Regions from separate parts of the Mus musculus genome. Here regions 1, 2 and 4 are each reported to be linked to region 3. Evidence: microRNA targets listed by miRTarBase, many of them from high-throughput screens and not tested one by one. Region 3 holds a microRNA gene; each other region holds the end of a gene's coding sequence.

The links. Region 3 holds the annotated microRNA mmu-miR-340-5p (UUAUAAAGCAAUGAGACUGAUU, at 912-933, shown strand). A microRNA usually pairs through its seed, bases 2 to 8, with sites in the 3' UTR of a target mRNA and lowers its output. Matches are read on the target gene's strand: a 7mer-m8 pairs with bases 2 to 8, a 7mer-A1 pairs with bases 2 to 7 and ends in A, and an 8mer does both.
Region 1: miRTarBase lists Kcnj3 as a target of mmu-miR-340-5p. The part of its 3' UTR that is shown has no 7-base or 8-base seed match.
Region 2: the mRNA of Has3 is a reported target of mmu-miR-340-5p. Seed matches in the 3' UTR shown: 7mer-A1 at 492-498 and 7mer-m8 at 429-435.
Region 4: miRTarBase lists Mga as a target of mmu-miR-340-5p. The part of its 3' UTR that is shown has no 7-base or 8-base seed match.

Annotation. Positions count from the first base shown.
Region 1 is chr2:55,595,141-55,598,375 of GRCm38, forward strand. It overlaps Kcnj3 (potassium inwardly-rectifying channel, subfamily J, member 3), which reads left to right. Exons shown (of 5, transcript NM_001355118.1): 5 at 1-3,005. The coding sequence ends at 257. Among named protein-coding and RNA genes, the nearest start is that of Kcnj3, 160 kb to the left of the region's middle.
Region 2 is chr8:106,878,286-106,881,511 of GRCm38, reverse strand. It overlaps Has3 (hyaluronan synthase 3), which reads right to left. Exons shown (of 4, transcript NM_001331048.1): 4 at 1-3,226. The coding sequence ends at 2,684. Among named protein-coding and RNA genes, the nearest start is that of Has3, 9.1 kb to the right of the region's middle.
Region 3 is chr11:50,068,809-50,071,808 of GRCm38, forward strand. Mir340 (microRNA 340) reads left to right here and starts at 894; the gene lies at 894-991. It overlaps Rnf130 (ring finger protein 130), which reads left to right. Exons shown (of 9, transcript NM_021540.4): 3 at 2,363-2,613.
Region 4 is chr2:119,964,676-119,967,880 of GRCm38, reverse strand. It overlaps Mga (MAX gene associated), which reads right to left. Exons shown (of 24, transcript NM_013720.2): 24 at 1-3,205. The coding sequence ends at 2,916. Among named protein-coding and RNA genes, the nearest start is that of Mapkbp1, 6.4 kb to the left of the region's middle.

The sequences.
Region 1 (3,235 bases), not on the chromosome of region 3:
TGAGAATGAGTTCTACAACCTCAGAAAAAGCCTATAGTTTGGGTGATTTGCCCATGAAACTCCAACGAATAAGTTCAGTTCCTGGCAACTCGGAAGAAAAACTGGTTTCTAAAACCACCAAGATGTTATCTGATCCCATGAGCCAGTCTGTGGCCGATTTGCCACCAAAGCTTCAAAAGATGGCTGGAGGACCTACCAGGATGGAAGGAAATCTTCCAGCCAAACTAAGAAAAATGAACTCTGACCGTTTCACATAGCAAAACACCCCTTTAGGCATTATTTAATGTTTTGATTTAGTATTAGTCCAATATTTGGCTGATAAGATAATCCTCCCTATGAAATCTGAGAGGTCTATCCTAGCCTGGCAAATAGATCAGAGAACTCTTCATTGAAGTGTTATTATTGTGCTGAACATAAGTTATGAAGGGAGGACATCATAAGGAAGCTACTAGTCGGCATGTATTATCACATCAAGCATGCAATAATGTGCAAATTTTGCATTTAGTTTTATGGCATGATTTATATATGGCATATTTATATTGAATATTCTGGAAAAATATATAAATATATATTTGAAGTGGAGATATTCTCCCCATAATTTCTAATATATGTATTAAGCCAAACATGAGTGAATAGCTTTCAGGGCACTAAAATTACATACATACATACATACATACATACATACATACATGCATATGCACAGACACATACACACAAATACTCATATATATAAAACATACCCATAAAAACATATATATCTAATAAAAATTGTGATGTTTTGTTCAAATTTGTATTTCTTGTGCATGTTTACTTTATTAGACTAGAAAGGCTGCTGGCATTGATTATGAATACCAAATATTTTAGCCTTAAATTATTTGTTACTTAAAAATCTGATTTAATGTTTTCTGCTGTTGCCGTCATGGAATCTTTCAACTGTACTTTACCATGAAAAGATAGCAGAGATTGGTGGTGTCAAATGACACCACAGAGACATCATTATTATGCATTTAATTTGTAAATTTTAGAGTGTGCTGGTACATAGCACACATCACTGAACTTTTCTTATGATTTTTAGAAGTCACTAGAACTTGGGTGGGGGAGGGGTTAGTAAAAGTTAGTTAACTCATCGATTCTGAAGCTAACTAATATCTGGAATTTGGTTTTGTACTCTAATAAAACTACGGGCTCTGAACAAATGCGGAATCATTGGAAGAGTCAGTAGCTTATTGTGACTATGTCAGAGTCTATGTGAAACTGACAGGGTAAACAGTGCCTGTGGCCAAATGAGTTGGTTGCCAATGTTTTCTTCTTTTTTCCGGATCTTTTGTCATCCATAAAGACTTGTAGATATTTCAGGAGACATGACAGCACAATGAAACAGATGATAAATTCTTTTGCTGGAAATGCATATGCCTAACAGAGACTCCCTTTACACTGTTCTCCTGTTTCTGGCATTTGTTGTGAAAGGAGAGACTATTTACTGGTCTGGAAACCTATTCCAGGTCTGTCACTCAGAGTTTAGCACAGACCTGAGAGAAATTAATATCAAATGATCTGACAATGTTTGTACACTCAGGATTTTTTGGTTTTGTCTTGGTGTTGAACAATTCTTTTATTGTTGCCTTGAATCCCTGGCCTCAGAATAATTTTAGTGTTACTAGCTTTCAACCCCCAACATCTGACTGGTATCAAACTTGGTCAGAAGTATACCTTGAACACAAAGCTTTAGAATAAAAAAGTTTTTTGAAACTGCAGAAGTACTTCTTTGCATACTAATGTAGATTTTCCTACACAATTTATGAGGGATTTGTAATAATCCAACTTGGCCCAGAATTGATTTAACTTTTCATTAATATATAAATCACTGATGGTTGGTTTGAGCACACAGCATTCCTTATTGTTTAGTGATCCTGCGATAATTTTATTAGAGGCAAATTATTACATCTACAGTATATCATCCACTATATCTTCTGGCTACCTCTGTATCAACCAAATTCTGTAGGTGCAAACACATAACAGGGAATTACTACTGGAGAAATGATCAACATTAGCATCCATCCACTGTGAATAGAGCAGTTGCCCTACCCCTTGATCACCAAATGTTCTTATTTGCTACATGGAGGTGATGAAATATTAGCAGACAGAAAAAGGGGACCAGTGGGTATCGTATATTTAGCAGTGGAGGAAGCTGCATAGATCATTTAGTCCAACACCTTAAAACTATACAGAGCCATAATATTCTTCAGAGAGTCATTTTAATTTGTTTTTGGTATTGCAAAGAACCAAAAACATGCTCTCTGAATTTATTCATTTAACAAAATTTTTGCATGCCTTCTTTGACCTAGGCATTGTTTTTGTTTCTGTTTTTTTTTTTTGTTTTTAGTTTAGTTCCTGGGGATTTAGACATGTACATGGTATCAGCAAGAGAAAGAGAGAGAGACAGAGAGATACAGAGAGAGACACAAGAGAGACACAGAGAGAGACACAAAGAGAAACAGAAACGGAGAGAGACAGAGACACAGAGACAGCAAGAGACACGGAGACAGAGAGAGACACAGAGAGAATATTCAGTAGTCAACATTTCAATTAGAAAAATGAAAACAAGGTAGTAATGGAAATGGGTATAGGATGATATGTATTCAGAATATGATATTTAGGGAGTTGATTAACATTAGGAGTGAAAAACCTGACGAGAAAGAGCCAGTGTTGCCAAAACTCAATCCAAGTGATCAGTACACTTTGACCTTTTCCGCATACGTGTGGGAACAGTATGATTTCTGCATGTACTTGCAGTTTAATCCCTATTCCTAGGTTGATCATAGGATCCAGTCTGCCCAGGAAAATCGAGGTTTATACTTGTTGTACTTGTGTAATTATAAGTAGCCCTCTCTTTAAATCCTATTATGTCCTGGTTTGGATGATATATGGTAAAGTTTTGTTGACACTAACAAAATTATTGAGTCTAATATATTTGGAAAAATAAAGAATTGCTTTCTTCTCCTTTTCTTGATTTTCTGTTTTTGTTCACAGACCATTTTGGGAAAACTCATTCCACTATCACCTTTTTTTGAGCCTCAAAAACTTCTTAGAAGAGAAGTTTAATCAGCACGTGACATGTCTCTCAGGTTCCAAAGTTATAGTTTTTTAAAAGCATAACATATAACATAAACCACACTATTTCCATTTTAAGAAGTTGTAAGAGATACAATTAAAAGAACTGAAAGTCAGTGTATGC
Region 2 (3,226 bases), not on the chromosome of region 3:
GAGATTGTGAAGCAGAGAAGGATCATTCTGAGAAGGGTCCTGGTAGAGTTCTACACTTTCTGAGGTGTTCCTATGACCTGTCTGGCAACCTGGAGGAACAGGGGCACCTCCTGGACTTTGCAGGTCATAGGCAAGGTGAAGGTAGAACCGCGGATAAAAGCTTAGCTGAAGAAGATGAGCTCCAGCTGCACACCTGTACACTGTGACTTTGCTTAAGAGTCACGAGGCCTGTGCATTGTGCTCAGTGGCTGTGCCAAGAGCATGATATGAATATTATCCTCCTTTCTGATTCCCTCCCACCCTTAATGTTAAATAAAGTTCCCTCCTTATTTAATAAAAAAGCAGGAAAAAATATATACAAATTATTGTAGAAATAATACAAAAGAGGCTGAAATTGTCAATGAGGAAAACCAAAATGAGTCTAATTGTATAAAGGCTCTTCCCTTGCAAGAAACAGGGATATAGCTGTAGACCCAGTTTAGTTTTGCTGCTTATAAAATAAATTAGGAAATCCAGTCGAGGTCAAATGTTGTAAGCTCACTACTGTACCTGCATCTTTAATCTGAGGAGAGTTGACCACAGTGCAAGGCAGAGAGCTGACGGTAGACAACCAGTTTTCATCCAGAGTCCATTGTCCTGTAACCTTCAAGTAAAAGCTGAAGAAAAACAAGCCCTTAGTCTGAGCCCCGAAGTTGACTGGATTGTCTCCACTGTAGTGCTCAAATAGTTCACTTCTTAACAGAAGGCCCCAGAGCAACTGCCTGTCACAAACGGCTGCTGCTCCTCAGCCACCATGAGTTGGGCCTCACACCAGCCAGCAGTTTTCCTAGCAACTTGAGGTTTGTGTGCTGTGGCAACTGTTAGCTACACCTGGAAAACCCCTTTTGTTCATACGAGGAAGGGAAATACAAGGGATGGCCCATTGGTGGTTTGGAGTGCACTTCATTCTTTTGTAGGAAGCACCTATGTACACTGCTCTCCAACCCAGTTGCTTCTGAGGGTTAGCTGGTCCCTCAGAGAACAAATGTTCAGGGAAATTGTAAGTAGCCCACAAAGTCAAAGGCTTAGTCACGAGCCCACGCTTCAATGCCAAAGCAATCTGGTCTTGACTTCAAAAGAGTGTAAAAGCTTCTCCTCGTTCCTCAAGAGAAACAAGGAAATCGGCAGCCAGTGAGGGCTGTAAGAGGACTGAAGACTGTTGGACCGGTTCCAGCTCCTACTTTGGTTTCTGGACTGAAGCAGCAAATGGAGGTGCATCTACTATTCTAGCCGTAGAATTCCTTGGAGAAGCCACTGAGAATGGATGCTCTCAAAGATGACCAACATGGATCTGAAGGTTCATTTGGGCAACTCCAGAAAGCTTTCCTTTGGGAATGATTGTCGAGAAAGTTACAGATGCTAACTAACCAGCTGCCGAAGTCCTGACCAGTCCTGGACGATGAACAGTGTGGCCAGAGGCTGTTGTTACGTCCATGCATGTAGGGAACAGCCTTGAAAGCCTTGTAAGCGTCTATTCTCTACCATGGTCACATGGGAATTTACCCATGAAAATGAAGAGGTAACTGCTGCTCTCCCCACCAGAAAACAACAACTAAGCGACATGCGCGGCTCTGAAGAGATTGAAATAGCAAGCAGGATGAGAGCCATATGTGAGAGGCATTCAGGTAGGAATGAGCTAGAATAACTAAAGACTTCTTATCTGAATCCACTGGGGTTGAGTCTTCCCGGTAGATGGCTAAAACATCCAGTCTGCCCAGCAAGTTCTCTTGACAACTTGGGGAATTTTGTAAAAGACCAAGCAGTTTTCAGTTGGAACACATTCACTCCAAGGCATCCATGGTTTTTAGCACCAACGCAATCTTTGATCCTCCCGTCAAACCATTTTTGTATGAGACAGTCAGGATCTCATGTAGTCTAGCCTAACCCTGACCCTCTCATCTCTTTCTGCTTCTAAGTGCTGGGATGACAAATGTGCAGCAGAACAACTGGGCGGCTTTTGTTTGGTGCATTGCAGACTTTGCTTTGTACTGTGCACCCAAAACAGATAAAATCCCCACCAGACTCATTCCTTACTTCTGGTGACTTGGCTCATCCCTGGGATGTTTTGGTGTGGAGTGGAATATATTAATTACATAAAGCACCATTTCTTAGACCCTGTTTTTTGACCAAAGGTCAGGCTTCCCAGCCTCATTATCTCAGGCACAGTCTTAACGCATTGATGGCTAATCGGAGGTTAGGGAAATGGGACAGTAGCCGGTATGGGACAGTAACACTTGACAGGAACTCCTTGTCATGTTCAGCTGGGCTAGGAGGATATATTCTATGAGCTGTCATTGCTTGTTTCTGTACCAGAAGTTGACATAGGATGGAATTTAGCACTTATTTTAGCACACTTCTGGGTTCTCAATAGTTCCCAGGAAGAAGTAAAATCATTTCAAAGAGTTCACTACCTGTGCAAGGGCAGGCAGATGAGCAGCCTAGAAACATACAAGCCCATCTGCCCAATGCCATGCTTCTGCTGAGCAGAGCTACCCAGGCCATACCACAGTCACTATTCTTTGCGTTTCAGATCGGTCCTTTCAGCCATGAAACTAGAACACAACACACCCTCCTCCCTCCCACCCCATCTTTTCCATTCCCTCCCTTACCCATTGCACATTTCCCACTTTACTTGGAGGTTATATCACACCTCCGCAAAAGCCAGGCTATACTGTTCTGGCTTCTTCCCACACCTCCGGGCAATAATGGCCAGATACAGCATGAGGAGGGCCACCCAGTAGCAGCCATACAGGATGGCCCCAGAGACTAGGAAGGCTAGCTCGGTCTCACTGAACAGGTCCTGGCAATAAGCTGTGTAGGCTAACCCCCCTAGAAGAACTGCCACCCAGATGGACACGGGGATTAGGCCAATGAAGTTCACGACAATGGTTTTCCTGCCAGAAGTGCCCCAGCCAGACTTGTTGATGGTAGCAATAGCAAAGATCTTGGCTGGCAAGAGGCTGGACATATAGAGAAGGGAGTAGAGGGACATGAAGATCATCTCTGCATTGCCTCGAAGGAAGCAGGCATAGGTAGCCTTGATAATGCCCACCAGCTGCACTGTTAGCAGGAAGAGGAGAATGTTCCAGATGCGGCCACGGTAGAAAAGTTGTATGACTGTAGCAATGAGGAAGAATGGGAAGAAACCTGTGACCACTGATTCATAGGTCATCCAGAGGTGGTGCTT
Region 3 (3,000 bases):
TTTCAGAACACAGGCATAGGGGTGATCTGGTCACATTCTTTGTATCTGTTTAATGTTTCCATTACTTCAGTCTAATTAACCCCTCTCTCCTACCAGCTACTGCTACTCTAATCCTAGTTTTATCCTGAGGGTTAAGTTTCCTCTGTTGTCATCATCCCTCCTGAATCTGCACCAACTCTCCCAAGAGTTTTTTGTTTTGTTTTTAAGGTTTATTTACTTTTTTATTGTGTGTGTGTGTGTGTGTGTGTGTGTGTGTATACCTGCATGAGTCTATGTGCACCATGTGTACAGAGCCCTCGAAGGCCAGAAGAGAGTGTCTGTTCCCTCTAGAATTGGAGTTACAGTAGTTATGAGCTGCCATATTGATGCTGGGAACCAAACCTCGTCCTCTGCAAGATCAACCAGTGCTCTTAGCCATCTCTTTAGTCCCATCCCCATTTGTAAATGTCTGAGCCATCTTGTTAGGCTCTTTGAACCCAGCCCAGCTCTAGATGTTGGGGAGAAAGAAACTTTTTTCCTAGGAGGGTTTGTAGTTTGCTTCATCACCTTCTGTAAGAGATCACTGCCTTCACTAATATCAGATGTGCTGCTGTACTTTTTTATTTGATCATTTTCAGTCTCCTTTGGCAACATTGCCCAGTCTCCTCTTTTTGCTAGGATGATAAAGCTACAGTGAGATCTATTCACTCTTGTCCTCCTAACAGTGAATATTGACAAGTGTTGAACTAATTAAATTTTTCTTTCCCAAACAGCTTCCTGTTGAGATTAGTTGACGCGCCCATTTAGTGTTCGGTTAAGGAAATTACTGGATTGGTTGCCTTGGCTACCTGTGCAGCTCTCCCCACTTCCAGCTTGAGTCTTCAAGAGGGAGCCTCAGAACTGATTTCTAAAACCAATTGTACTTGGTGTGATTATAAAGCAATGAGACTGATTGTCATATGTCGTTTGTGGGATCCGTCTCAGTTACTTTATAGCCATACCTGGTATCTTAACACCACAGATCATGCCTGTTGATCAACATTGTAAAAGCACAAACTTAAGGTTTCTAAATGGAAATTTAAACTGGTTTAGCATTCTTTTATGATTCTTTTTAACTCACTCACCAGAGGCAGATGTTAACTTAATAATGCTAGTTTTAATTTTGTTGTCTCCTTTTTGTTTATAGATTTTTTAAGCAAAAATAAACTGGTAAACTACTACTCTAATAAAGTGAATAAACCGTTTTGAATACAGTATTATGCAAATATATATTCCATTGAGCTATATTTTTTTCAAAACTTCTGTTACTGAGTTTCTGTTGTGTCTCATCTTGACTGCTAAAGGTAACAAGAAATCAAAACAAGTGTTTCTAATATTTGTTGACAGAGCCTTCAAAAGGTCAGGTCTGGGGTCTCTGCTTGCTGTTTTGAGAGGGTATTTTGTGTTTGGATGCACAATCCTCCTTCATACTCACAAAAGTGACCTTGGTGAGTAGCTGCTCACTCTGACTTAAAACAGGCCCTTGAAGCCATGTGAGAAAAGGACTTGAAAACACAACTGAACCATCCTTGTAATTAACTTATAAAAGTTGTGCCTGTGGGCAGAACTCTGAACAGCTTTTAGGAACTGAAGGTTTTAGGTATCATTATGGGTAGTAGTCCAGAAAGTTGAAACTTGGGCCTGCCTAGAGGATTTGAGTGCGCTGGGCATGGTTAAACAAGGTGGAAAACTAACATAAAACTCAAGTCTGAGGCTAGCCGAGGCAATGTGAGATGCTGGCTCCAAACTGGGTGGGAAAATTGTTGCGTTTGAGCTCCAGAAGTGCCCTGGAAGGAGCTTTACTGTAGACAGAAGACCAAAGTTAGTTTCAAAGGTTGTTGGTAAAAGATGTTGCCGTTCGGCACTTGTCACTCCATAGCCAAGTGTGTGCCCTAAGAAGTACCCTTCTTTCTGTTTCTTAGAGCAGTCCTTGCTCAGCAGTGCGTGTGAGGATGAGTAGTGCAAGGACCACCTGTTCAGACTGTAAATGACAGTGCTTCTCTGTCAGAACTTTCCAGATTGATTGCTATAGAAAGGTTTTCTACTGAAGACTTAACCTGATTTAGTCACAGGTGGCTGCTTTCACAGTGCTTCTAATGCACCGGTAAGGCAGTTTGTGCATTGTTAACACCACAGTTGCTTTATGCGTTACCTGTTTGGAGCACTGTACATGTTCTCATGCCTGTCAGTTTACACAGCTGCAGCCTCATGTCAGTTGAACTGGAATCTATAAACCTTAGTGAAAATTATGGTAATTTCTCTATGGAGCATATGTGTATATTTATTTGATGTGTCTATGAATTTCAGATGTCACTTTAGTCTGTGTATTTGTTTTACATTACAGGCACGGGAGATATTATTGCTGTCATGATAACAGAATTGAGGGGTAAGGATATTTTGAGTTATCTGGAGAAAAACATCTCTGTACAAATGACAATAGCTGTTGGAACTCGAATGCCGCCAAAGAACTTCAGCCGTGGCTCTCTAGTCTTCGTGTCAATCTCCTTTATTGTTTTGATGATTATTTCTTCAGCGTGGCTCATATTCTACTTCATTCAGAAGATCAGGTACACAAATGCTCGGGACAGGAACCAGGTGAGCTAACCAGTACTCTAGCCAGCCGTAATCCATGAGGATCTTGTGATAATACTTGTTTATGTCATATATTTAAAAACAAGACCAACAACAACAAGATAAAAACATGCCAAGTATGGTGCTGTACCCTGTAATACCTGCACTCGGGGTTTTGAGGCCAGTTGGACTACGCAGGCGTTCCAGGCCATATTCTATCTCAGTTTTAAAAAGAAAAAGAAATGAAAGAAAATGTTGTTCTACATAATCACACTGTAACTATCAAAGTCAGTAAATGAATGTCCTTTCAGTACATTTCCTGACCTATCGGCTCTCTCAGGTTCTCCAGAACTGCTTAGAAGTATCCTTAAGGGCAACAAAAACCCCAGATTAGTTAGGCCAGAATGTGTG
Region 4 (3,205 bases), not on the chromosome of region 3:
TTCCCAAATGACAGATCGAAAGCTTTCCAGTCAAGAAGCTTCAGAAAAGATCTCTTCAATGGAACCCTCTCTCAAATATGTCTGAGGGCATAAAGAATTCTTCAACCAGGCACAAACCTCCCAACACCAAATTCTGCTTTAATTAGTATAATTGGTTTATTTCAGGTTCACATGTCTTGCCTTTCAACTGCCAAACTTCTGTTATTTCTAAAAAAATAATCACTTTCAAAAGCAGAAATTAAAGATATATATTTAATATATAAAAGAAAATGCTAAATCTGACATAATTATATCCTTAAAAACATTCCATGTATTTACAGGTGTATAAAAGGCGAGTTATTGGTCGACTGAGATCATGCTTCTTAGTCAGGGTGGAGCTTTTTCCAGGTTCCTCCAATGTTCTCACTTGAATTCACTTTTCATAATCATACATATAATTTTAATAGATCAGTTTCTCCTAATGAAATGCTAAAGGGTAGGAGTTTAGGGAGATTTTTTATTTTTGTCAAGACTACATGATTGTTCTAAAGACTAAACCCTCCTCAAATTCGGCCTGATAGCTCCTAAATTTGTCTTAAGAACAATGTATCTTGGGAGTTTGTAATGACATCTGCAGCTTTCCCTGAACCAAATCTCATCTCTATCTTTGTACATCTTTCATAAACACAGGCAAGTATCTTCCAATAAAGAATAAACCCTGACCTGTTTTTTTTCTATGCTTTTTCAAATTTAAAAAAAAAAGAAAGAAAGAAAGAAAGAAAGAAAAGGAAAGGAAAGGAAAGAAAAGAGAAAAAAGTATTCGGAAGCCACAATGGTCCATTGTTTCCTGAGGATTATTCACTCCCTTGTTTTGTTTCTTGTCTGACTCTCAAAACCCAAAAGGGCTCTGGGAAGCCAGAAGAACACTCGGGAAAGAAACAGGCAATAAGACCACTGGAAACTACTATACCTGGGCTAAAGAACTAGCGTCTCTGAGGACAGCTGCTAGCAAGGGCGACAGGTGCTGCACTCCTTGGCTAAGGCATTGGATAAAGTCAGTTGGGTAAAGGACAGAAGGGACAGAGGAGAAGCTGAGGAATACTGTTTTTACTTTATCAGCTTTTGTAGTAAACAGGAAAGGTTAAGTGCTGATGACCTGTCTAGAGCAAGCAGCGCAAAACCAATGAAAGATTTACTACCACTGCCATTTGCAGTGTAAGTTTTTCATCATTTCAATCTAGTGATTATCAGAGTTAATCTAAAAAGGAAATCAAACATAGAAGTAATTCACTGGCTAGATTCATTCCAAAGTTGGTCTCACAACCTAGGTCAGAGGATACAGAGTGGGACTTAGGATAAAGACGCAGTAGTGTAAAAGAAATACAATCACCCAGGCACAGCCCAGGCACCGGAAGCACTTGTGTTAAAGTGTTTTTACAACACAAGCAAATCCTGTCATTGAAGACAGAACGGGTTACATTCCAAAATATAATTATTTAAGAAAGGCAAATGCAGCAGCTACATCTCAGTCTATACATTTTCAGAACAGTGATTCTTGCCTCACGAGTTCCCGAGAGACCCCTCAAATGCACCATGATTATTTACAAACTAGATAGGAAACATTTCTATACTCAATACAAATCTCTTCTAGGTCGAAAACTTCATCCTTTGAGAAATCTATGAAAACAACTATACAAAAATATAAATATCTTCATCTTTACAGGTTGTCAGTCCTTCATACCCTGACAGCCAATGAGTGAAAAAGCTCTACAGATCATTGATGCCATGATAGCAGATAAAAAATATACTTTGTGACTCAAATACTGCCTTACTTCCCTGGTAAAGATTGCTCACTCTGACTCGCCTTTTCTTTACATCCTGTGCAGGTGACAGTGAACAAAACCTTCAAGCACCTAGAGGCTGGTTTCATTTGGGAAATACCCAGCCCCACAAATTTTTATTTTGGCTACGGTCTCTGGTTAGGGGAGAAACTGCTTTTCATTTTAGCTGTTTCTTGAGTGACATGATTTGGGAAAGGGAAGGGCTGCCTCTATGTCTACTTCCAAAAAACAATGAGTAGAAATCTCTGGTATTATGAATGAATCTTTGTGATACCCCAAGAAATAAGGGAGAAGTATGTCTTTTTTAGTCTCTGAAAATAAGTATGTTAATAGTAAAAGTAAAAAGTATATTCCTACTTTACCAGAAAGCTTAGGTTTTTAATTATGACTGAAAGGGTAAGGGAAGAACTATTCTGGATATGAAACAGTCTGCTGAATGACAAAATCCCTTCACTTTGGTATTCCATAATATTCATCCTACCTACTATAACATTCTCTCTTCCTACTCCCCTGGCCCCCACAAGTGTGTATGTGTGTGTGTGTGTCTGTCCCCTTGATAGGCCAGGGTAGACACAAACTTGCAATCCTTCTGCTTTAGTCTTCTAAGTGCTGGAATTACAAGTGTGCACTACCATGCCCAGTCCTACCATGCCCTACTATTGAAATAGTAACTAAAAGTTCTTTTTTTTTTTTTTTCCCACACAACTGTATCATAATTCTCAGATTTTGGAGCCAACAACTATGACTTATACTTTAGTCTATAGTAATTCCAAGTCTCAAGCATTTTCTCAGGGGAAAATAATAAGGTAGTTGATGGAGCCAGAATCTTGTTATGAATTCCTTGGGCAAGAGGGAATCACACCTTCTTAGAGAAGATGAGGGGACCCAGCACCACAAGTGAGGTAACACATTTTTAACATGATCAGAATTTCAAACACCAGGACCAGCACCCTACACCTCCTTTCTCCATCAATATTCACACATAATTAAGTCAAGGATAATAGTTCCATAATACAAACAAACAGACGCCTACAGAGAAAGGAGGTGAAATTCATTTCCCCTCACAGCCTGGCTTTTGTATGAGGATGAACAAGCTCATTTCCCTGATGAACTTGATGGAGCTCCAGAGTTGCCCAATTTAGGTACAACAGGTGCCAATGTAGGCATCACCTTGCTCCCCCGGCCTTCCTGGTCAATTCCTGCTAAATTCATTTTGTGTCCAATTGACCCAACTTTGGCAGCTATAGGTGCCAAGGCAGGCATCACCTTGAGACTCTGACCATCGGCATCACTGGGGGGATTAGCTACTTTTAAACCTAATGGGGCCAACTTTGGCATAGGCCTCCACAAAGTATCTGTGTTGCTGTTCTCCGGGCCAGTCTTCA